Struthio camelus: one gene and its partners. The protein of the gene in region 3 interacts with the protein of the main gene of each other region in a pairwise test. Links are inferred from orthologs where the notes say so. Each region holds a gene or a part of one and is shown on either strand. Other genes may lie near its edges.

Region 1 (6,920 bases), on a different chromosome or scaffold from region 3:
TGCCAGCAAGTCAGTGGGACAGGGCAGGCAGCTGTCACGCTAGGGACCTCGTCCAGCCCTTGACCAGGCTGCTGCCCTTCTTCCATCTCTCTCCTTTTGTGCTGGCGTTGCTCGTGCCTCCGAGGAGGACTAGGGCTCAGCCCCGCAGGCAAGGCAGGGGGAGCCAGCTGGAAGCGCACACACGGGCTCCATGCTCTGCCCGGCAAGCAGTGAACTCACTCGCTGTCACTGAGCCAGGCCAAGAAAAAGCCTTTTTCCATGCGTCTTCTTACAGAGCAGCCCTCCTCCCCTTCTAGGCCTGGCTATTTTTACTCTACTAGAGATGCCAGCACTGTTTGAAGCAGCATCTTCCCCTCCAGAGCCTGAACTCCACACGCCACTCTTGGCTGGTGCTTTCTCTTTCACACTGACTAGCCCTTCTCCTGGTGTTTGTGTTCAGGGAAGTGATGAGTGGAAAAATGTGCTCAGACAAAAGGCTCTGGAGCGCTGGGTTCAAGTTGCTGCCTGAGCCCCAGCTCAGCGGAGCAGTGAGATCAGAGGGCTTTCTGTTTGGGAGCCCAGGCCTCGTGGCTGAACTCTTGCTCCCAGCCAGATCCTGAAGGCTTTGGCTCGTTTCATCTCTGACTGCTTAGTGCCCCTATTGGGCAAATGAGTCTGCCCGAAGGCTTCTGCCTCCCTTTTCCTGGGCTGGGGACTCCGAGAGAGCGCTGCAGATGTAGGAGAGGCACAGCAGCACAGGGGGGCACAACATCTGCTGAGCATCCGCGTTAGCCAGGTGCCTCAGGTGCTCTCGGAGACCTGGGCGCAGAGTCTTTTCAAAAGCTGGGTGCCTCCGTCTGCGTTCCCGGGGGTACGTGCTCCTTGTGCCTTGGGGAAGCTGCTCCCCTGTGCTCAGATTGCCCCAGGATCGCAGCGTGCTAGATCTGACTGTGACCACCCCTTGCTCGCTGCTCCGGCTCTCCCAACAGGTTCCTGTCATCTGGGACCACATTCTCAAGAAGAACGCAGGGAAGTGGGAGGCCATCGCCAAGCACCAGGTGAAGCGCATGTTCAGCCCTACCGAGGAGGAGCTGAAGCTCCAGGCACGCAGGTAAGGCCCTGGCCCGTCTCAGCCCGTTCTCCTGCCACCTGCACGCAGCAGTAGCCAGCATCCCGGTTAGAGAAGCTGGCGCTCAGCACTGGGGGGACAAAGGGGTCTGTGGTAGTAGCCAGGGAGAGAGCTGTGAGCGGAGCAGGGTCAGTCTGTCTCCTCGGTGGCAGGCTGCAGCCGAGGACAGCTCGACGTTTGATGGCAGTCCCCGTGGGCAGCCTCACCCCCTCTCTACCCGATGCAGGTGGGCGCAGACGTACAGCCTGGACCTGATGGAGGCTCTCGTCCCCGACAAGCCCAGATGCAGGGTGTGCGGCTCAGAGGCGGCTAAGCGGTGCTCTCGCTGCCGGAACGAGTGGTATTGCACGCGGTAAGGGGTCCTGCTGTCCCCAGTGCCTCCCCGCAGACCAGAGCGGCGGAGGCTGCGAAAGGGCCAAGGGAAGCCATCGATGGTGGTCGGGCTCCCATCTGCTGCCCGAAGCCTTGCCTCCCTTGGGAGCTGTGCAGGAATTTGCTTCCTCCCAGCTACCCGGTGGGCAGAGGGGTGCTCGTGGCAGGCTTTGTTCCTTGTCACCGGTTAGCTCGCTAGGCCGGACTAGGCCCTGTGCTCCTATTCGAGTTGTGGGCGCCCCGGTTGGAGGCAGAACCCCCTGAGCAGCGGTGTTCCCCTCTGCAGGGAGTGCCAGGTCCAGCACTGGCAGAAGCACAAGGCAGCCTGCAACCTGATGGCTGAGGCGCCAAAGCAAGCGGACGACCTGACAGCGTAGCTGCGATTGGAGCCCGACCTGGGGCTTGGAGAGGTAGAGGTTTCCCCTGCGAGCAGCTCAACTAACTGAGGAGAAGCAAGCAAAGGTCCCTAGTTAGAGCGGGGGCAGGCGCTCCCCTCGGCCCTGGGGTGCGCCGGGCTTTTGGGGCAGTGGCGAGGGGGTGTTGGGAGGCGCGATAGTGCCTGCGGTCACGGCGCTGGGAGCTGGCGGAGCGGCCGGAAGGGTGACGCAGGGCGGTTCTTGCAGCCACCCTCCTGGCCTTGCCCCTGCTCTAGCGAGGCACAGGCTGGCCGCGGTCCTGCCCACGTCGGTCACCGCCAGCGCAGGGTGCTGCAGCCCCGGTTCGTCCAGCTGAACCCCCCTCCCTGCTCGGAACAGGAACTACTTAGCGCGCTTGCTTCTGGAAGACAGCTCTCGACCTCGGAGCGTTACCTGGTGAAAGAAACAGCCAGCTTGCTGCTGCCTCGGTCGCCCTGCGCGAGGCCGACCTGCCTGCCCGCCAGCCATGCTCGAAGCGCTCCTGCCGCCAGGCCCCTCACCGAGCTCGGCCTCTCCTGTCCCCGCCGCGCTGCCTTCTCCCGCCAGCGGCAGGAGTTTCTGTGCGCCCCGCGGGTTCTCAGCTCCCTCCCGCATCTCGCGCCGAAGATGATAAACCACTTCCTCCCCGGCCGTGCGCTCCTGGGGTGCTTTGGGCGTCAGTTTTTATGCCGCGCCACCAAAGAAATCCCAGAGAACCAGTGTGGTCACGGAAACGGCCGAGTCCTCTCCGGCCGGGGTCCGTGCTTGTCCCTGCGCTGAGCCCGCAGCGGGGCCGGGGTGGGAGGCGGCCCCTCACCACCTCTTTTTGGTCAGCCACCCTCACAGAGCAGCATGGGGGAAGGGAGGCGGAGGAAGTGGTTAGCACGAAGACCTCGCGACGATAAAGCAGATGAGCTTCTTGGGTTGTTGTCATCTGCGAGCCGTCCTGCCCCGGCGAGCCAACGCGCGCCCTGTGCCCCGGCACGCCGGGCCGCGTTGGCAGAAGTCACGTCTGCCAGGCGTGCCTGGCTCTCGGCCGCGTGCCCCCCCCCGCGAGGGGGGCTGGCAACGCGTGCCCCGTCAGGGATCCCAGCGCCGTCGCTGCTGTTACTGAACGCACGGGAGGAGCTGAACGCCGTGGCGGGAGCCACCAGCAGCTCTCCGCGGGGCTCGCTGCCGCGGGCACGCTCTGCCTCGGTTGCGCCCTGAGGCCGGGGCAAGTCCCCTCCCCTCCCGACACCAGTCCCCAGGCACCGGAGCGGCTCAAGAGCACCCGGGAAAGACAGGCAGCGCAACCCCAGGTCTCGGCGCGAGACGGCCGCGCGTCCGGCGCGCCAAGCCTAAGCGAGGACGCAGCCCCGAGCTCCCGGGCTCCAGCGCTTGGCTGAGTCTCACCCGATGCAAGAAGGCGGTTTGCAAAGTGCCGCTGCCGACCCGCTTCGCCGCTGGGAAACTGAGGCACAGAGCGAGGCTGCCTCGGCCCCGAGGAAAAGCCCTGGGTGACGGCTCTCCGGGAGCTGCCCCGGGCCAGGGAAACCCAGCTTGCAGGCTCAGGAACAGCGAGGTGGCAGCGGGGCCACCGCGGGACCTGGTGGGCCCGTGCCACCCCCTCAGCGGCCTCCCCTCCCGGGGAACAGCTCCGCCAGCCACGCGCCCCCCACCACCACCGCCGTGACCCCCTCGCCGGCTCTTTCTGGCTCGGACCCTGCGTGCGCCCCCGGCCGCCGTCTCGGAGCTCACCCCGCCGACGGAGCGAGCTCCGGGGCTGGGGCCGGCCGCCTCCGGCGGGAGGGCTGCCAGCAGGCTCAGCCGGCGCCCCCCGCCAGGAGGCCGCGGTGGGGGCCGGGCCGCCGGCTGCGGGTACCCACGCCAGAGGCGGCCGCGGCCGCGGCGCTGCCTCAGTTTCCCGGCTCGTTGGCCGGACGGGGCGGCCCCCGGGCCGGTCCCCGCCCCGGCTCCGGTCCCGGCTGCGGCGGCCGCCGCCCCCGCCCCGCCGCCGCGCAGCGCCCGGGGCCGGCGGGCCATGGCCGGGCCGGGCGGCGCGGAGCTCATCGAGCTGCGGGAGCTGGAGGCGGAACCGCGGCCGGGCCGGGGCCGCCTGGAACGGGCCAACGCGCTGCGCATCAGCCCGGCCCGCCGGGCCGGCCCCGCCGGCGCGCACCGGGACCCGCGGCTGACGGCGGCGCCGGGCGCCGGGCACCGCTTCCAGCCGCGCCGCCGGGGGCTGCACACCTGGTGCGACCTGTGCGGGGACTTCATCTGGGGCGTGCGCAGGAAGAGCCTCCAGTGCCTCCGTGAGTAGCGGCACCGGGCACGGCCGCGGGGTCGCGGCTCGGGGCAGAGCCGGGTGGGGAGGCGGCGCCGGGCTCGGCCCCGCCGCCGCGGGGGGGGCCCGGAGCGCAGCGCTGCCAGGCTCCGGGGCGGCCGGCGCTGTCCCAGCGCCCGAAAGCGATCTGCCGGCAGCTCCCGCCCGAGCCCAGGCAGCGACCCCGGCCTCCCCGGTGCTGGCGGCCGCCGTGGGGTCCCCCCCCGCTGACCCCCCCCCCCGCGCTCCTGTCCCCGTCCCCAGACTGCAGCTTCACCTGCCACTACCGGTGCCGGGCCCTGGTGCGGCTGGACTGCAGCGGCCCCCGGGGCCCCGGGAGCGAAGCCGACGATGCCCCCGAGCAGGCGGTGGAGAAGGACACCAACGTGGTAGGGGTCTGGCCCCGGGGCGGCTGGGCTGGCGGGTCGGGGCTGGGGGCGGCGGAGCGGGCAGGGGTGTGGGCACCCCGAGGGGCTGCCCATGCCGGGCCGGGCCGGGCCCCGCTGGGTGTGCCGTGCTATGCCGGGCCGTGCCACGCTATGCCGTGCTGGACTCCGTTTGGCCGTGCTGGGCCATGCCGGGCCGGGCCGTGCTGTGTTGTGCTGGGCTGGGCTTTGCCACGCTATGCCATGATGGGCCGTGCCGCGCTATGCCGTGCCGGGCTGTGCCAGGCCGTGCCAGGCCATGCCGGGCTGTGCCGTGCTATGCCGTGCCGGGCTGTGCCAGGCCGTGCCAGGCCATGCCGGGCTGTGCCGTGCTATGGCGTGCCGGGCTGTGCTGCACTATGCCATGCCAAGCCATGCTGGGCCATGCTATGCCATGCCATGCTGTGCTGTGCTATGCCAGGCTGGGCCATGCCGGGCTGTGCCGTGCTGGACAGTGCCATGCCGGGCTGTGCCAGGCTGGGCCATGCCGGGCTGTGCTGTGCCATGCCAGGCTGTGCCATGCCGGGCCGTGCCGGGCTGTGCCAGGCTGGGCCATGCCAGGCTGTGCTGTGCTATGCCGGGCTGTGCCAGGCTGGGCCATGCCGGGCTGTGCTGTGCCATGCCGGGCTGTGCCATGCTGGACAGTGCCGTGCCAGGCTGTGTCATGCTGGGCTGTGTCATGCTGGGCCATGCCAGGCTGTGCCATGCCGGGCCGTGCCGGGTTGTGTCATGCCGGGCTGTGTCATGCTGGGCCATGCCAGGCTGTGCCATGCCGGACAGTGCCATGCCGGGCCGTGCCGGGTTGTGCCATGCTGGGCCATGCCAGGCTGTGCCAGGCCATGCCAGGCTGTGCCAGGCTGGGCAGTGCCGGGTCGGGCCATGCCGGGCCGGGCTGTGCTATGCCATGTTGGGCTGTGTTTGGCTATGCCAGGCTGGGCTGGACTTTGCCATGCTATGCCATACCGAGCCGTGCCGTGGTATGCCGTGCTGGGCTGTGCCGGGCCATGCCGGGCCGGGCTGGGCTTTGCCATGCTGTGCCATACTGGGCTGGGCTGTGCTACGCTGTGCCAGGCTGTGCTATGCCGTGCTGGGCTGTGCTGCACTATGCACTATAGCATGCTGGGCCATGCTATGCCATGCCGGGCCATGCCGTGCTGTGCTATGCCAGGCCAGGCCATGCTGGGCCATGCCAGGCCATGTGGTACTATGCCATGCCGGGCTGGGCCAGGCTGTGCTATGCCACGCCAGGCTGTGCCGGGCCGGGCCGTGCCGAGCCATGCTGGGCCATGCTGGGCCATGCCATGCCGGGCTGAGCCATGCCAGGCCATGCCGGGCCGAGCCATGCTGTGCCATGCCGGGCTGAGCCATGCCAGGCCATGCCGGGCCGAGCCATGCTGGGCTGTGCCGGGCTGTGCCATGCCAGGCCATGCCGGGCCGAGCCATGCTGGGCCGTGCCGGGCTGTGCCATGCCAGGCTGTGCCATGCCGGGCTGAGCCATGCCAGGCCATGCCGGGCCGAGCCATGCTGGGCCGTGCCGGGCTGTGCCATGCTGGGCCATGCCAGGCCAAGCCATGCCGGGCCATGCTGGGCTGAACCATGCCAGGCCATGCCGGGCCGTGCCATGCTGGGCCATGCCGGGCCGGGCCATGCCGGGCTGTGCCGGGCCGAACCATGTCGGGTCGAACCATGCTGGGCTGTGCCATGCCGGGCCATGCCATGCCGGGCCGAACCATGCCGGGCCATGCCGGGCCGTGCCGGGCCGTGCCGGGCCGAACCATGCCGGGTCGAGCCATGCCGGGCCATGCCGGGTCGAGCCATGCCGGGCCGGGCGGGAGCGGGGTCGGGGCGGGGCCGGGCGGGGGCCGGGCGGGGCTGAAATCAGCGCTGGGTGACGCGTTGGGCCCGCGTCAGCCCGACGGCGGCGGGACGGGACGGGGCGGGGCGGGGCGGGCCGAGCCGGGACAGGGACCGGGACCGGCACTGGGACTGAGCCGAGCCGAGCCGGGACTGGGACTGAGTTGAGCCGAGCCGGGACAGGGAGCGGGGCTGAGCCGAGCCGAGCCGGGACAGGGAGCGGGGCTGAGCCGAGCCGAGCCGAGCCGGGACAGGGAGCGGGGCTGAGCCGAGCCGAGCCGGGACTGGGACTGAGCCGAGCCGAGCCGGGACAGGGAGCGGGGCTGAGCCGAGCCGAGCCGGGACAGGGAGCGGGGCTGAGCCGAGCCGAGCCGAGCCGAGCCGAGCCGGGACTGGGACTGAGCCGAGCCGAGCCGGGACAGGGAGCGGGGCTGATCCGGGCCGGGAGCGGGGCAGGGAGC
Region 2 (6,908 bases), on a different chromosome or scaffold from region 3:
TGTTGGTTCTTCTACATGTATTTAATGATAATAACAGATGTCTACTAATGAATAAAATCCTTGTTTCCTAGCAATGCAAGAGTGAAAACACAATTTCCACAATATTACATGCAAATACAGATAAAGTTATCTAAATCAACAGTATGCCTCAGAATATTACTCTGTCAATAACAAGAAAAACCATCCACAACAATTCATAACCTGTTCACTCTTACTTGTTAAAGGCAACGAATCTAATAAACATTTACACAACTTTTGACAAAGCTGGTGATATCTAATATTGGTCATTAAAAAAAAACTTGCTCAAGCTTACCTCTTTTATTTTATAAATAGCCCACTGTTTGAATATATTTTTCCTTTCTCCTTAATACACGTGATCTAGCTCTTTATTCTAAGAAATGTAAACAAGTAGTAAAGTCAAACAACAGAAACATCATTAAAAAGAAGCTCCAGCCTGTACAGTATTACATTTAAAATATACGACCACGAGCATCCAGAAGCACTTCTGCAGCCACTCTCAAGAAGACAAAAGAAAAGAAAAGAAAAGAAGAGAAAGAAAAATAAATCAATACTTACCTGAAGTGTGCCTCCCATGATTCTGTGACATCCTCTGGAAAAGATCACTGTTTTGTTCATAATACCTGTAGTCCTCATGTACGCGATCATTTAACTGACGCCTCCTTTGGGCATCATAAAAATGATCATAATAATAACAACGGGCACCAGCATCTCCATTTTCCATAGCAGAATTAGCTTCTGTTAAAAAGGATTGGGAGGAAGAGCCATATTCTCTAGGGACATCAGCTAAACTTCTTGCAAGATAGGAAGGTGCCGACAGTCTGTTGCTTTCACGTCTCATTATTTCATGAGGTGGCCTCTGAACTGGAGTTCTAAGGAAACTCTGGTTTCTGGAAACAATTCCATCTCCTCCAGAAGCATATACAGAAGAACTTGAGTCAGGAGGACAGATATCAGTTCGTCTTGGAATGGTTGGACCATGACGGATAAATGAAGGCATCAGATCTGTTTCAGGATAAAACCGAAATAAGAATTTCAGCTCCACTTGCACAAAATATCTGGTTAGCTGCAACACTGATTTACGCTATGATATTCAGGAAATTCAAAAGCCAGAACCCCTTTACAGCGCCTCTAATGCAGAGGCGAGTACAGTTGTAACGCTGCAGTTTGTATTGGTACAACAAAACCCATCACGCTCTCCTCTAGCAACGGAAACAATCCCCCAAAGAGCACAGTTTTGCCAGTACAACTGCATCTGCAAAAAATAAACTAGTCACACACTTTTGCCTGTGGCTACATCAGCCAGGCTTCACACCTCTTTATCTACTAGAAACATCAAGAAAATCTAACTCTCCTGGCTACCAGTCTACCACCTTATTGGGACCGCTGTCTTTATGAACGTTGAGTAACTGAATACATCAATGCTTACATGCTTATAGGACTCCATGACAGAGCCAGGAACAAAATTTGTATATTTTCCACATATAACAAAGCTTAATCAGCAAAACGTTGTCATTTTGCACGTGTAAGTTCTCAAATTAACACGAAGATACCTCATTTTTCTCCTTTATTTAAAGGGACACAAACACTGATAACTATTCAAGCAATTTCACTGCTTCCCTCCAGTATATGATATACTCCTTGTTATTACTTTCAGCACGGCGTGAATAAGTAGTTTTCCTGCAGGTGAGCTAACACAAACTACAAGCTTCGTTTATGAGCAAGCCATGCCTATCATTTACTATTTATAAGCAAACTCTTATAAACGTATAACTTAAAGCAAAATTTCAGTGCATCGCGCAAGGTGTAATCAGTAATTTTGTAACAGTCGTTACAACGCAGTCATGTAATAGCTGGTCATTAATTCACAGCAAATAGCATAAGCGCGTAGAAGGGGTTGACCCATTAGAAACACCAAAAACCTAAAACAAAAAAGAAAGAAAGAAAGAAAGAAAAAAAGAAAAGTAGTTCTTTTTTTAAAGCCTAAGCCTGTGAGGCTGCTAAACGATTTTGCCTGTTGGTTGGGGAGCGGGTTGTTTGTGCAGCAAGGACTTCCAGAGAAGCCGAGCGCCTGCCTGCTCCTGCCTGCCGCTCAGCTGTTAGTCGCGGCCTCAAAGCTAACCTAATCCTACCATTACAGCACGATGCGCTTCAGTCTCAGTTTGTTTTCAATACTTTCTACGCGCTTCCGCTATTCTCCTGTAAAACCCTAGCAAGAAGGAAGCCGCAGCATTAACGCCAGGTTAACGGGATGAAGACTAGCGCGGCCGAGGTATGTAGGAGTGACCTCACCACGTCGGTTCACCGTTAAAACCGGAGCACTCGCTTCCGCAGGGATTTTACGCGACTGGCGTGGACAGTTACCTCATGTTCAAGGCGCACACCTTTTGGCAGCCGACACAGCCTGGCCTGGGAAAAACACTGACTTTTGGAAAGAGCTGAACTGCCCCGTTCACCTCAGGGAGATCTGTCTGCGGATGATCTTAGCCCTGGCCTCTTGAGACTGAAAAAAGTTGGGACTGAAAAGCTTAAAGAAAAAGTTTGTTTACTGTGTGGGTACGCCTCTCTCTCAGGTTTAACCTCGGTCAGGTCTCGCTACCAACGGGGCGATTTTTTTCCCCGTTTATGAGGAAAACGCCTCAAAACAGCCCCTAGGATCCGCCGGGCCGCAGGCAGGCTGCGGTGGCGAGCAAAGGGCCGCCCCCACCCCCGCCGCCGCCCCCGACACTCACTGCGAAGCAGCGGGCTCGTCTCCTTCTTCACGTACTTGCCCTGCACCTCGCCCGGCTTGGAGAGCTCCGTGCGCGTCTTCTTCCGCGACAGCATCCCACCTCCCGGCCCGCCACCGCCACCGGGGCCGCGCCCGCATGCCCGGCGCCGCCCGCCGCTCCTCAGGGCTCGGCGGCCCCCCTCAGGCGCGGCGGCCGTTGCTCGGTGCCCGCATGGCCGCGCGCCGCCGCCGCCGTCAAAGGGGAGGGGAGGGGGAGGGGCGCTCAGCGCCGCGGGGCGGCGGCGGCTCGCGCCGCCCGTTGGGCCGTGGCGGTGGGGGGGGGGGAAGGGGGCGGGGTGCGGCTGGGGTTGGGGGGGGGGGAGTCCGCGAGGAGCCGCGCGCGCACGCGCGTCGCTAACGTGCCCCGCTCGGCGGCGCCGCGCGCGCGCGCGCGCGGGCTTGTGGGAAAGCGGCCTCCGCCCTCCCGGCGCGGTGCGGGGGGGAAGCTGGTGCTGTCACCGCGCCCCCGCGCGGCGGGGAAGGGGCGCATGCGCAGCGCTGGCGGCGGAGGCGGGAAGGGCGCGCGCCGCCGCCTCCACCCCCCCCCCCAACCACCTCAGAGCCGCTCCCTCAGGGGCGGCTGCCGCCAGAGAGCCGCCCTCTGCTTGCCACAGGTATCACCTCCCTGCCCCTCGCATCAGTTACCAAACAAACATTAATTTTAGTTAAATGAAGGGAAAACTGAGTGCCTCCTGTGTTACACCCATAAAGGCAAAGAACGGGTATGCGACTGCTGTTGTTCTTAAAAAGCTGGTGCGATAGTGAACCTACCTCTTACACCGCCCACTTTTTATTTTATACTTTAAGGCAGCGAGGAACTACCGTCCTTTCTGTTACTACACTTTACTCATGTACATACTTAAGAATTTTCAGATAGCATGTGAAATACCTACAATTTCCATGGGTAGATAAATTGGATTAAACCAAAAAAACAAGCAGTGAGCATACAGAAATTTATTCTTTTTACATTCATAAATAATGTACAAGTTGTTTTACCTTTGCTTTACATGATGTTATAAGGACAGTATATTACACTGAAACAAAACAAACCTGATAAGGAAAAAAATATACAATTGTTTTTTCTTTATACACAAGTCATTTGTCAGCAATGACAGTGAGAACAGGAGACTGTAACAGGTAAAACCTGGGAGACAACACAGCACAGTTATAACAGTGATGTCATTTGTTGAAAGCAAAATAAAGGCTTTTAGTGTTCTTTGATAGAGCCAAACCATCCCCTTCTGCAGCTCACATGTAATCTGTAAATGGCTAAAATCAAATACGTTACAATCCCTTTTTCAAACAGAATTCAAATAATTTAGTTTTCTTTGAATTTAAATGAATATTTGTGAATGTGTGGCAATGTATGCTTTTATACCATTCTAAATTGACAAGTAGTACTTCAGCTGTGTAGATTTAATTCACAAAAATTTGACTCAGTCATATACTTCCTCTTCCCTCTCTCAGAAATCTCAGCCACAAACATCTATGTGCCTCTATTTTCACAGTGATTCATAAAGCAAGAGTTAAAAACATTTAAAACACCTTTTGGTAACACAGTAGTTAATATCTTAATTGTCAAGATCTGTTGCGTGAACAACGCTTAGGAATTCAATAATTTTTGACTGCATGTTATGATACTGTTAAATACTTTAGTATCTTTAAAATCCCTACACTGCATAGGAGACACTCGTGCATGGAAGATCACAAATGCTTAAGAGTTTACATGTTTATATGCTTATTTTCACTAGCTTAGACTTTGTAACACTTGCTGCTTAACTTCTGAGCTGACGTACTCAACCAATATACAACACAACACTTGTTTGTAAGCAGCGCTACCTTTGTCTGAATTCACTCCATTTGGGAAAGGATTGTCCTGAATTGTTCTGTAGCAACAGAAAGTACAGTACAGAAAGAGTCTAGAATATGTAATTATAGAAGGCACTTTTGAGAATTGACACAAATATTCTACTGAAATTGGAGTCTGTCTAAATAAAATATTTACCAAACATTCTCTTCCTCCTCCATCCTCCTCCTCCTGTTCTCTTCCGTGGTTAGTTTAGTTTTTTAAAGCTAAGTGAAAGAAAAGTAGGGCAAAAGAGCATGGGTTGAGAAAGGGAGAAGTCGAATTCCCTTTTCTCAGTTTCTCCTTACTGTTCCAGTATTATCATTGTATCTGGGCTCCCTTTTTGGCACTGTGTTTTCGAAACGTCTGTATGTTTGGTTAAAAACACCATAAGTACCAGGAGATTAAAAATTAGGTGAGTGAGTAGTCTAGCCTTTAAAATGAGTTATTTCAAAATAATTCCACAGGAGTTTAAATACATACTCATTCCCTCTGTTCAGTTTTCACACTTTGGTCACATACTGAGCCCTAGAAGTAAACCTAGGTCAAGATGTGAAATAGCTTTAAACAGTACTATCTAATAATGTTTTTCCAAGTATAATTCTGATCATCTGAACATCAGCTGCAGTGCTGCCTGGAAATATTCTTAAGCATCGCTAATTTTCTTAGCCTAGGCATGGTTTTAATATTGCTAACATACAGGCTGGGTACCTACACAGTGTTTTTTTTTCTTTTTAGTAAGTGATACTGTTTATTGATTACTATGAGAAACAAAATGTTCCTGCTTCAAAATTGAAAAAGAAGCTCCAATTTATCTCAATACAATTTTGAATTTTTAAAAGCTTTTGCGGACTGAAAAATGGGGTATGTAAATCTCAGAATTTGAGATTACTCAGAAAAACGGTCAGTACAGGTATTTAGAATAAGACAGTTATGAAATAATGTATAAAGATTATGTTACTCCAAGGTATTTTTCCATTATTGTTTTGATAAATCTTTCATTTTTTGAAAAAGATATACTCCTGTATACTCACTGTGACCTTTCAACAACAACAAATTGCACAGATTCTTCATAATTATTTTTACATGTGTCTTTATGCTCCATTCTTGCATGCAGGTGTAAGAAAAAAACCTGATATATCTTACATTCTTTTTTTAATAGGCCTTATATTGCTTGCATAAAGGAAGGGAAGAGGAAGGGGGAAGGAGAAGAGGAGGTCATACTCCATATGTATATTTCAGTCCCTTAACCCTCCAATTAGCAGGTAACTGTTTAGACATAGATAGCATCCCCTAGAGCCACACACTAATCAGTACCAAATGACCAATTTTCTGCAGGTGACTCAACAGCTCATAGGCAGTCTTATCCCAGTTTCTAGGGGGCAGCTGGCTCATTACAAATGCTGTCATAATTGTCACCTTGCACTAGTGGTTTCAGAGACAAAGCATTTTACCCTCTTCCTCTGCATACACTATTTATGCAGAATATATTTAAAGAGGACCAGTTTCAAGTAAGGCCAATATGGCTCCTTTCACCAGTTTTATTTACACTGTTTAAAAATCTCTTACTGCCCTGACAGGGGCAAGGAGCCCGTATAGGGAACGACAGCATCTTTATTTAGACTGCAGCAATGGGTTATACAAGCGTACAAGCTCTCATTCAGCTGTTTATGTCAGACCTATCTCAAATCTTGAAGCTGTTCCCAGAAAATTTGTATTCCCTAGCCTCATAAATTGGTCTGATAGGAGATACTACTTGTCGTTACAAAACCTTGCTGCTCCTTGACCATCATGACTACACCATTAGTGCGTGTTTGTCTAGGAGTATCATCAGGTAATATTCAACCAAATACAATTTGGTTTATCCTGCTTTTCCTAACGCATGTTTATTTTCATCTACTGACATTAATATCCATGTTTGTAATAGTGCAGGAAACTAGTTGAGGCTGTTATTCCCTGAGTTTTTCATATTCACCTTGAATGTGTTTCCTCACAATTAATTACAAACTTAGATTCTGTATTAGCATCTATTGGAAACAACAGGCCTTATTCAAATGATCACTCAAGTCAAACAGAACACTGCATGAACGGCAGAGGTCCCGCTCTGGCAGCCCTAATGACAGGATTCCACTGAAGAAATCATTTAGGTCTCCCTCTTCATTCTTCTGTGAGTTGTTTATTAAACATACTCCACTGCTTTAATGAGTTTACAAGTTGTATAAACACAACTCATGTCTTCACTTCTGTTTGGTGATTCTTCCATTGTTTAGTGTA
Region 3 (7,266 bases):
ATATATGGTAGCTCTTAACCACCCCCCGGCACAGCACAAAGCTGGAACCAAACGTTCTTTATCCTAGAAATGATGTACTACAGGAATTTTGAAGCAAATGTTGAGCTCAAGAAGCAGTTAAAAAGGGAAAAAGGAAAGTCTTTCAGTCTGCAAAAAAATAGTTTAAGAATATTTTAGAGTGACTGAGAGCCTGCACTTTAAGGATGCAATTTTCTAGCTGTACCAGCCCAGAATATGCTCTGCTTACTGCAATTGCTTTAAGTATGCCAGAAGAAGTACTTTGACTGTTTGAGCACAGCACTGCACGCCTTGTGGTTTTTGGGGCACAGACACTATTCAAAATAACAAAGTCCAGGCAGATATGCATTAAAGGGGGGGGGGGGAGGGAAAACTCAGCAGCCCTAAGCTAAGCGTCTCCCAGCATTTTTTATGGCATCTGATCAAAGAGGAATGTTGATAAAAGCTAAAGGGAAGACTGCACTTGGAGGAACATGTGTTTTTCTTATTCATTTGTCTGGGAGCAGACATCAGACAGCTTTGTCAGGAGTACCACAATGGCTTTTATAAAGGGCCAAGAAGTACTTAGGCAAAGAACTGTCCAAGTAATACCTGTTGGTGTAAGTTGCACATTCCTTTTTGAGCTTTAAACTCTCACTGTACTTCTCAATTGCTTTTTTATGGTTTCCTTTCTTCACAAGTTCATTTCCTTCTTCCTTCAGAGTTCGAGCTCTCTCAGTGCCAGCAGCAGTCTGGTCTGGAAACAACGTGAAAGAACACAACACACTATAAAACTGGTAAGAGCTGAGCAGCCTCTCAGAAAGCAAATATCGCTATACCAGAATTGAGGCACAGAGAGACCAAAGGATCCAGAATCAACCAAAAAGGCTGTGGCAGAACCAGGAAACAAGTCCAGGTTTCTCCAGGCCTCAACCACAGCTGTAGACATGCCAAGCAGGTATGGCAGCTACCTTGTTCTTCATCACCTCTCTCTGTGCTCCAGGGCTGTGTGCACAGCCCAAGTAACACGCTCTCACCTGGTTTTCCCAGAGGTGCAGTTTCACAAGGAGTGGTCGGGCCTCCTGCAGAAGGAACATTCCATCTCGTCTGGGCAGAAATGGGGACTGCGGGGATCGGAGGGAGCTTCTCACGCCAATTCACACCATCCTTCTCCAGCAGGACTTTGGTCATTCTGGAAGAGACAGCTAGGCAATTACTGTGTCTGTTGGCAGAATGGGCCATGCAGTGGCCAGTGGGGAAGCCCAGCTTTTTAACCTGCCTCATGTATTGAGGACTGCATCTCTCCACTAACCCCTTTGCATACATCTAAACTAATCTTTTGTCAATGAGATATTAATACAAGGAGCTTCTCTGCCTCAGTGAGGCCAAAAATATCCTAGGATAAGGGCTGGGACGGTCAGAGCTCAGTTGAGCAGAAGAGAGACTTTTGTGTCATTTCTCAGACAAACAGCAGAGCGAAGCAGACAGCTCCAGGAAAAGAAAATGACAGCCCATCAGCCCTGCCTGCATAGGGAGGCCTGATGAATAGGATACTGGTGCTTATAGTTCAGTTTAAATAGGCATTGGTAAAAGCCAAAACAGTTAGAGGGAATTCATTCCCAGCCCTAAACAATGGCCCAGGAGCTTGAAAGGAACTAAGTACAATAAGGACATTAGCACCTATCACCACAAGCAGGAAGTACGACCAAGCCTGAACTTTGCACAAAGCATCAAAGGCTTCAGTTATTTTATTAGGGTGCTCAGGACCCTGCTTGCTGCTGACATAGCTGCTTCCGTGAGTCTCCCTGTTTTGCAGTGAACTAAACTGCTATATTCTCAAGGCCTTCTTCCAGAGCGTACAGTATAGTATTTGGCATTACCTGTTGACACCATCGTGTGCAGACTGTATGGAGCAGTCGATCTGTAGCACAGTCTTGTAGTCAACATAGGCCAGCTGATACCTCTCCAGAGCCTCGTAAGCTGCTGCCCGCCTGAGGAGGGGTTTGATTCCAAAAGGGACCAGTTCAAGGGCACTGTGCCAGAGGGGAGAAAGCAAAACAGGCCTATGAGCCACCCAAAAAACTGCATTCAGAGAGGCAGCTTTGGAAAGTCAGGTATCCTCACACGGGAACTACAGACCTTGTCTTATGAACCACATTTTCACAGGCCCAGTCTTGCAAGTACAGAACAGTGAGGTGTCAGAATCTTTGTTTTCATTTCAAATGATACTGGACTGCAGGAACTGATCCTGAAGCAGTGAACTTTTTCTGTCCTGTCTCATTTCCAACATTAATATAATTACTGGTGACAGAGGAAAAAAAAAACGAATTCCCTCCTCCTGTAGAGCAATCATAAATGAAGGTCTGCTTTGGGGGCTATTCTTAAAAACTTAACCTGCATATCACAGATGAGTGGTGTTTATCCTGCTCCACACCAGCTAATAGCTGCTCTTCTGTAGGACCAGGTTGTTCATGCTGTTACGAGCTGCTTATTACAGACAGACATGCATATCCATTCTGAGGAATAAAGACTTACACGTCCCCAGTGAAGTCACTGGTAGGGCTGCACAAGAATCTCCCTCAAATTAACTCCAGAGAGCTGTTAAGATTTTAAGTCAGCAATCTCATCTTCATCACTAGCAAATACTGGCATTTATCCTCAAGGGTAGCCATATCCAGTTCCTGCTTTCAGCACAAGACTATAAATTATGAGCAGCATAAGCTGTTCCAAGTTCTGCTGTCCTTCTCATAACCTATCTCAGGCCTGGTATTCTCTGAAGAGCAAGTCATACAGTTAATTATACAGTGCCATTTTCTAATGCGAGTTCCTTGTTATAGATCTGTTTTGGAAAGAGTCATTGGAAACAACAGGCAACCTGAGCCACCTGGTGCTACTCCCATGAAACTCCAAGCCAGGTCTGGCACTTGGCTGCACTCACCAAGTCACTCCAGATTTACAGCAGAGGTGCTGCAGACACAATCAGCCCCTGCTCACTTGTGCTACCAGGACGAAAACAGAGAGACCAATGAATACTAAAGCTACCTATGAGAAGAGGGTCCGTTGACGCCTCTCAATGGGGAACATATCTTTTCCTATCCTTTCTTGCTCAAGGGCTAGCAAGTCCCGAGGACTGCTCCGATCAACAGCAGAAAGCCAGGACACGGCCACATGGCCACTGCTACTTGCGGAGGGTGAGCGAGGGGAGGACAGATGGGGCAGCCCCGCCACCTGCTCCGCTCCCCCTAGCCCCTGGCCCTGGCCTTACTTGGGGTAGGGGTAAGGGAGGAGAACGCAGTCAGGCCCTGGGCAGCAGGGCCCCCCTAACCCCTCCAGCTTCCCTCTCTGCCCCATTGCAGCCCCCAAGGCCTCACCGCCCCCCAGGGCCTCCTCAACCCCCCCCCCAGCCTCCCCTCAGTACCCCCTGAAGGCCTCCCCGATCCCCCCTGCCTCACTGCCCTCCCCTCAGCACCCCCCAGGGCCTCTTCAACCCCCTCCTCAGCCTGCCCTCAGCACCCCCCCAGGGCCTCCCTGAACCCCCAGCCTGCCCTCAGCGCCCCCCCCCAGGGCCCCCCCGACCCACCCCCTCAGCCTGCCCTCAGCACCCCCCAGGGCCTCTTCAACCCCCCCCCCAGCCTGCCCTCAGCACCCCCACCAGGGCCTCCCCGCCCCCCCCAGCCTCCGCTCCTGCCCCCGTGAAGGCCTCCCGACCCCCCGCCTCACTGCCCTCCCCTCAGCGCCCCCACCAGGGCCTCCCCGACCCCCGCCGCCGCCGCCTACCGGGAGCAGTCGCTCACGCAGAGCCCGCAGGCGCCGTCCTTGAGGTGGCAGGCGGCGCGGTTGGCGAGCAGCACGCTCCTCTCCGCGGCGGCGGCGGCGGAGGCGGCCTCCCCTGCGGGCGGCACACAAGCGGGAGGGGGCTGCGGCGCGGCGGCCCCCTGCCCGCCATCCCCACCCCGGGACGCGCGGTACCTGCGGCCTCCAGCAGCGCCAGGGCCCGGCTGTAGAGGGCGGCGGCCGGCCCGTACTGCCCGCGGCGGAACTCCTCGTTGCCGGCGCGGCGCAGCTTGCTCACGCCGCCCGCCGCTTCCATGGCGCCGCCCGCCCCCGCCGCTCCGCGCAGGCGCCGCCCGCCTCGGGGGCGGGGCCTCCGCACAGCCCCGCCCCGCGCAGCCGGCGGGCCGGGGCGGGGCCGGGCGGGGCCGGAGCGCCGGGCGCGCCCCTCCGGCTTCCGGCGGAAGCGGCGCGGCCGGTCTGTCATGGAGCGCTGAGCGCCCGCGCCGCCGGCCCGCCGCGCTATGGAGACGGTGCAGCTGCGCAACCCGCGCCGGTGAGCGCGCCGCGGTGGCCGGGCGGGGTTCGCCCCGCCTCTGCGTGGCGCTGGGCGGGCGGCGGCCCTGTGGCGCCGTGGCGGGGGGGGAGCGGCGGGAGCCCGGCGGGCCCTTCCCGTGACGGGAGGCGGCCGGGCTGGCTGCCGCAGCTCCCCTTCCTCTCGCCTTTCCTCCCGCGGGGGTTGGCGCCCGTCGGCGGCCGCGGCGGAGCGTGGGGCCGTCAGGCGCGGCGAGCGGCGGAAGCTGCCGGCTCTGCCCTTCGCCGCCGCGGGCAGCCGCCGTTTCGCCGTCGAGCAGCGACGGGGCCGCGCGGGCCGGGTCGGACGCGCGGCCCCGTTGCGTTAGGCCTGGGCCAACGCTGGAGTGCTTCGCGGCGCTTCGGGCGCGCGTGGCTCGGTGCTGTCGCCGTGCCCGTGGCGTCACCCGACGCGGGTAACGGCGGAGAGCGCCCGATAACGCGGGGCGAGCCCCGAGCGGGCCCGCGCCAGGCAGGCTCGAGGCGCGTTGGTGCCGAGTGGCAGTAAGATGTTACGTCGGCTCTTCGGGCCCGGTGAGCGGGTTTGGACCTGTGAAAACTCTAGCCGGCGTTACACGATCGGCGTTTCGCCTTCTTACTTTTTCTTTTTTGGTGGCCCAGGCCTCGTTTTAACCTCGGCACAAAGCATCTGCCAACTGCAGCACCGTTTCTTGGTCTCTTTGGAAATGGCGGCTACTGTGGTTGCTTCTTTATTATTTATATATCTTTATTATATATGCTTTTTCCCTTTTCTCCTCTTCCCACCCCTTCCTCCCCCCCTGTTTTCTTAAGGACAAGTAGCATTTTGGTGGTTAATGCTTATCTGTGCAGAGAAGCTGGTGACTACTTTCAATATTTCGCCACTTCCTGAGTCTGCTTCTTTATAATGTTTCCTTCACTTCAGGAAGCCATTGTATGTACTCCGTGCGCGTACTGCTCCTCCTATATGGCTTTTGTGCATAAACATAATAGCCAGGGATCAGTGAGTGGTTTCTCAATTTACTTTTGAAGATATGGGGAAAAAATTGCATACTTAGTGTCAGAACTGCGATGCCTCTGTTTGAGGCCGTGATGTTTAACAGTAGCAGTAGAAACTTTCATTAGTTCTGTGTCGTGGCAGGCAACCATGAATTAACGTTGCTTGAATGTAAGACTAAGAACATCTGGGAAATGGTTCTTAGTTTGTCTTCTGCAAACTTGTGTGAGCTGGTTTGAGGTTTTCTTTTTTGGGCTTTTTTTCCTTTGGTCTTTCATATAAAAGTGCTATAGCACTTGTTTGTGGACTGTTGGATAGTTAGTAAAATGGTTTGTTTTGGGAACTTTTTGTCTCCCCCTGCCCCCTTCTCCCCCTCCCCCTTTTTTTTTTTATATGGTCCTTAGCTGTTGTATGAGGTTTCTTGATCAGCAGCTCAAAGTATGGTCAAGGTGAACTGAAAAGAAAGGAATGGGTTTGCTTGTTGCTTTGTATATGGAATTTTTCTGAAAGGTGTGTGGGATGTGTTAAGTGAAGGATCACAGGGCATGTTTGTACAACTGCATGTTTTTTTTCCTGGGAAGTATTTCAGCTGACTCTTCTTAGCAATAAATCTAAAAAGAGGGATGGAATGAGCAATGTAAAGATTCTAAAAGAGTCAGAACCCAGTTCCCCCCTCCTGCATATTCTTTTCCTCGTATATGCCCAGGCCCACAAAGCCAAGATCTGGATTTCTGATGTTAAGAGTGTACAAGTAAGATTAGTATTGTCTCTTTCCTCTCAACAAAAGTGTCCCTTACATACAAGGGAGGGATCTCCCTACAAGGTGTCAGAGAAGATCACGTGTCCCCTTTGCATGGCCTTGGTACATATACTGCTATACGAGATTTTGAGCTTTAGCGGGTATGTTCAATAACTAAGAAACATTGCAGTGCTACTGTAGATTTGACCACCAACATATAGGTCCTGAGATATATTCTGATATCTTAAAGAACTGACTCTTTGTTTCCGCCAAGATCTGTGTGCCTGATTAAACTTTGTTGTCTGTAATTTCCAGTCCTCTTTTTCTATTAGGTAATAATATTGTTTGGTCGTCTGATCAGGTGAAATAAACTTGCTTCATGTTAAGCCTTGCGTACACTTAAGTGGAATTATTTATTCTCTTGTTTCAGCGGAGTCTACATTGTCATAAAATTAAATGTAATGATTTCTGTCTTCTTACGTATGCAGGCAGCTGAAGAAGTTAGATGAAGACAGTTTGACCAAACAACCTGAAGAAGTATTTGATGTATTGGAGAAGCTTGGAGAAGGGTGTGTGTTCTCTTACAGCTTGCTCAATGGGTGTTTTTCTGAGAACAAATACATATAATGGCTGTTTTCGATGTTCTCTGATTTTTTTCACTTTTGTCATGATCTTATTACCGCGAAGGTATGCGTTAGCATGGCAACTTTACTTGGTAGGTAATAGAGTAAAGTATTTGTTTTCCAGGAGTGAGATGTCTTAATCCGGACAGTGGCTTATGATTCAGCAGTAGAGACCCCAAAGCGTTATTGAAATTTGGCAAACTATAGTTGATAGGGCTGTATGGGAACTCCAGAGGTCTTGTAGAAGACTGCTAACTCTTGTAGAAGATCCACACAGTAGAATTGAACTTGCCTTTCCTTGTGCCACTTGCTAATGCAGAGCAGCTTGGGAACACTCAGGGAATGACAGGTTTGACTTCTTACGTGGCTTATTTGTAGAACTGAGTAAGAAATCTTGCTAGCTGATGTAAATAAAGAGAGTGAAAATAATATAGATCATAGCTGACAAGAACAAGTCAAACTCTTTGAGCAGAGCAGTAGTTCTTGCTGTTGCTCAGCTAGTACCATGTTTTGGAAAAAGGAAAATCATATTTGATGGATTTGTTGTGCAAAAGGCCGTTCCAAAGCTATGGGCAGTGTAGTGATGG

The links.
Region 1: the proteins of STK4 (region 3) and RASSF1 interact in binary tests that used the Homo sapiens proteins (3 or more experiments, as listed by UniProt). The link is inferred for Struthio camelus from reciprocal best matches to the Homo sapiens genes STK4 and RASSF1.
Region 2: the proteins of STK4 (region 3) and SAV1 interact in binary tests that used the Homo sapiens proteins (3 or more experiments, as listed by UniProt). The link is inferred for Struthio camelus from reciprocal best matches to the Homo sapiens genes STK4 and SAV1.

What each region holds. Positions count from the first base shown.
Region 1 is NC_090955.1:23,904,157-23,911,076, reverse strand, and holds the start of RASSF1 (ras association domain-containing protein 1), read left to right. Parts: upstream 1-3,898; coding exon 3,899-4,169; intron 4,170-4,444; coding exon 4,445-4,569; intron 4,570-6,920. Other genes in the region: ZMYND10 (zinc finger MYND domain-containing protein 10), read left to right, coding at 969-1,090, 1,335-1,460, 1,767-1,857. UniProt on the Homo sapiens protein: Potential tumor suppressor. Required for death receptor-dependent apoptosis. Mediates activation of STK3/MST2 and STK4/MST1 during Fas-induced apoptosis by preventing their dephosphorylation.
Region 2 is NC_090946.1:80,909,270-80,916,177, reverse strand, and holds the start of SAV1 (protein salvador homolog 1), read right to left. Parts: upstream 3,051-6,908; 5' UTR 2,845-3,050; coding exon 2,751-2,844; intron 1,024-2,750; coding exon 577-1,023; intron 1-576. UniProt on the Homo sapiens protein: Regulator of STK3/MST2 and STK4/MST1 in the Hippo signaling pathway which plays a pivotal role in organ size control and tumor suppression by restricting proliferation and promoting apoptosis.
Region 3 is NC_090959.1:7,812,934-7,820,199, reverse strand, and holds the start of STK4 (serine/threonine-protein kinase 4), read left to right. Parts: upstream 1-4,192; 5' UTR 4,193-4,292; coding exon 4,293-4,324; intron 4,325-6,544; coding exon 6,545-6,625; intron 6,626-7,266. Other genes in the region: TOMM34 (mitochondrial import receptor subunit TOM34), read right to left, coding at 610-754, 1,035-1,189, 1,878-2,030, 3,775-3,886, 3,967-4,087. UniProt on the Homo sapiens protein: Stress-activated, pro-apoptotic kinase which, following caspase-cleavage, enters the nucleus and induces chromatin condensation followed by internucleosomal DNA fragmentation.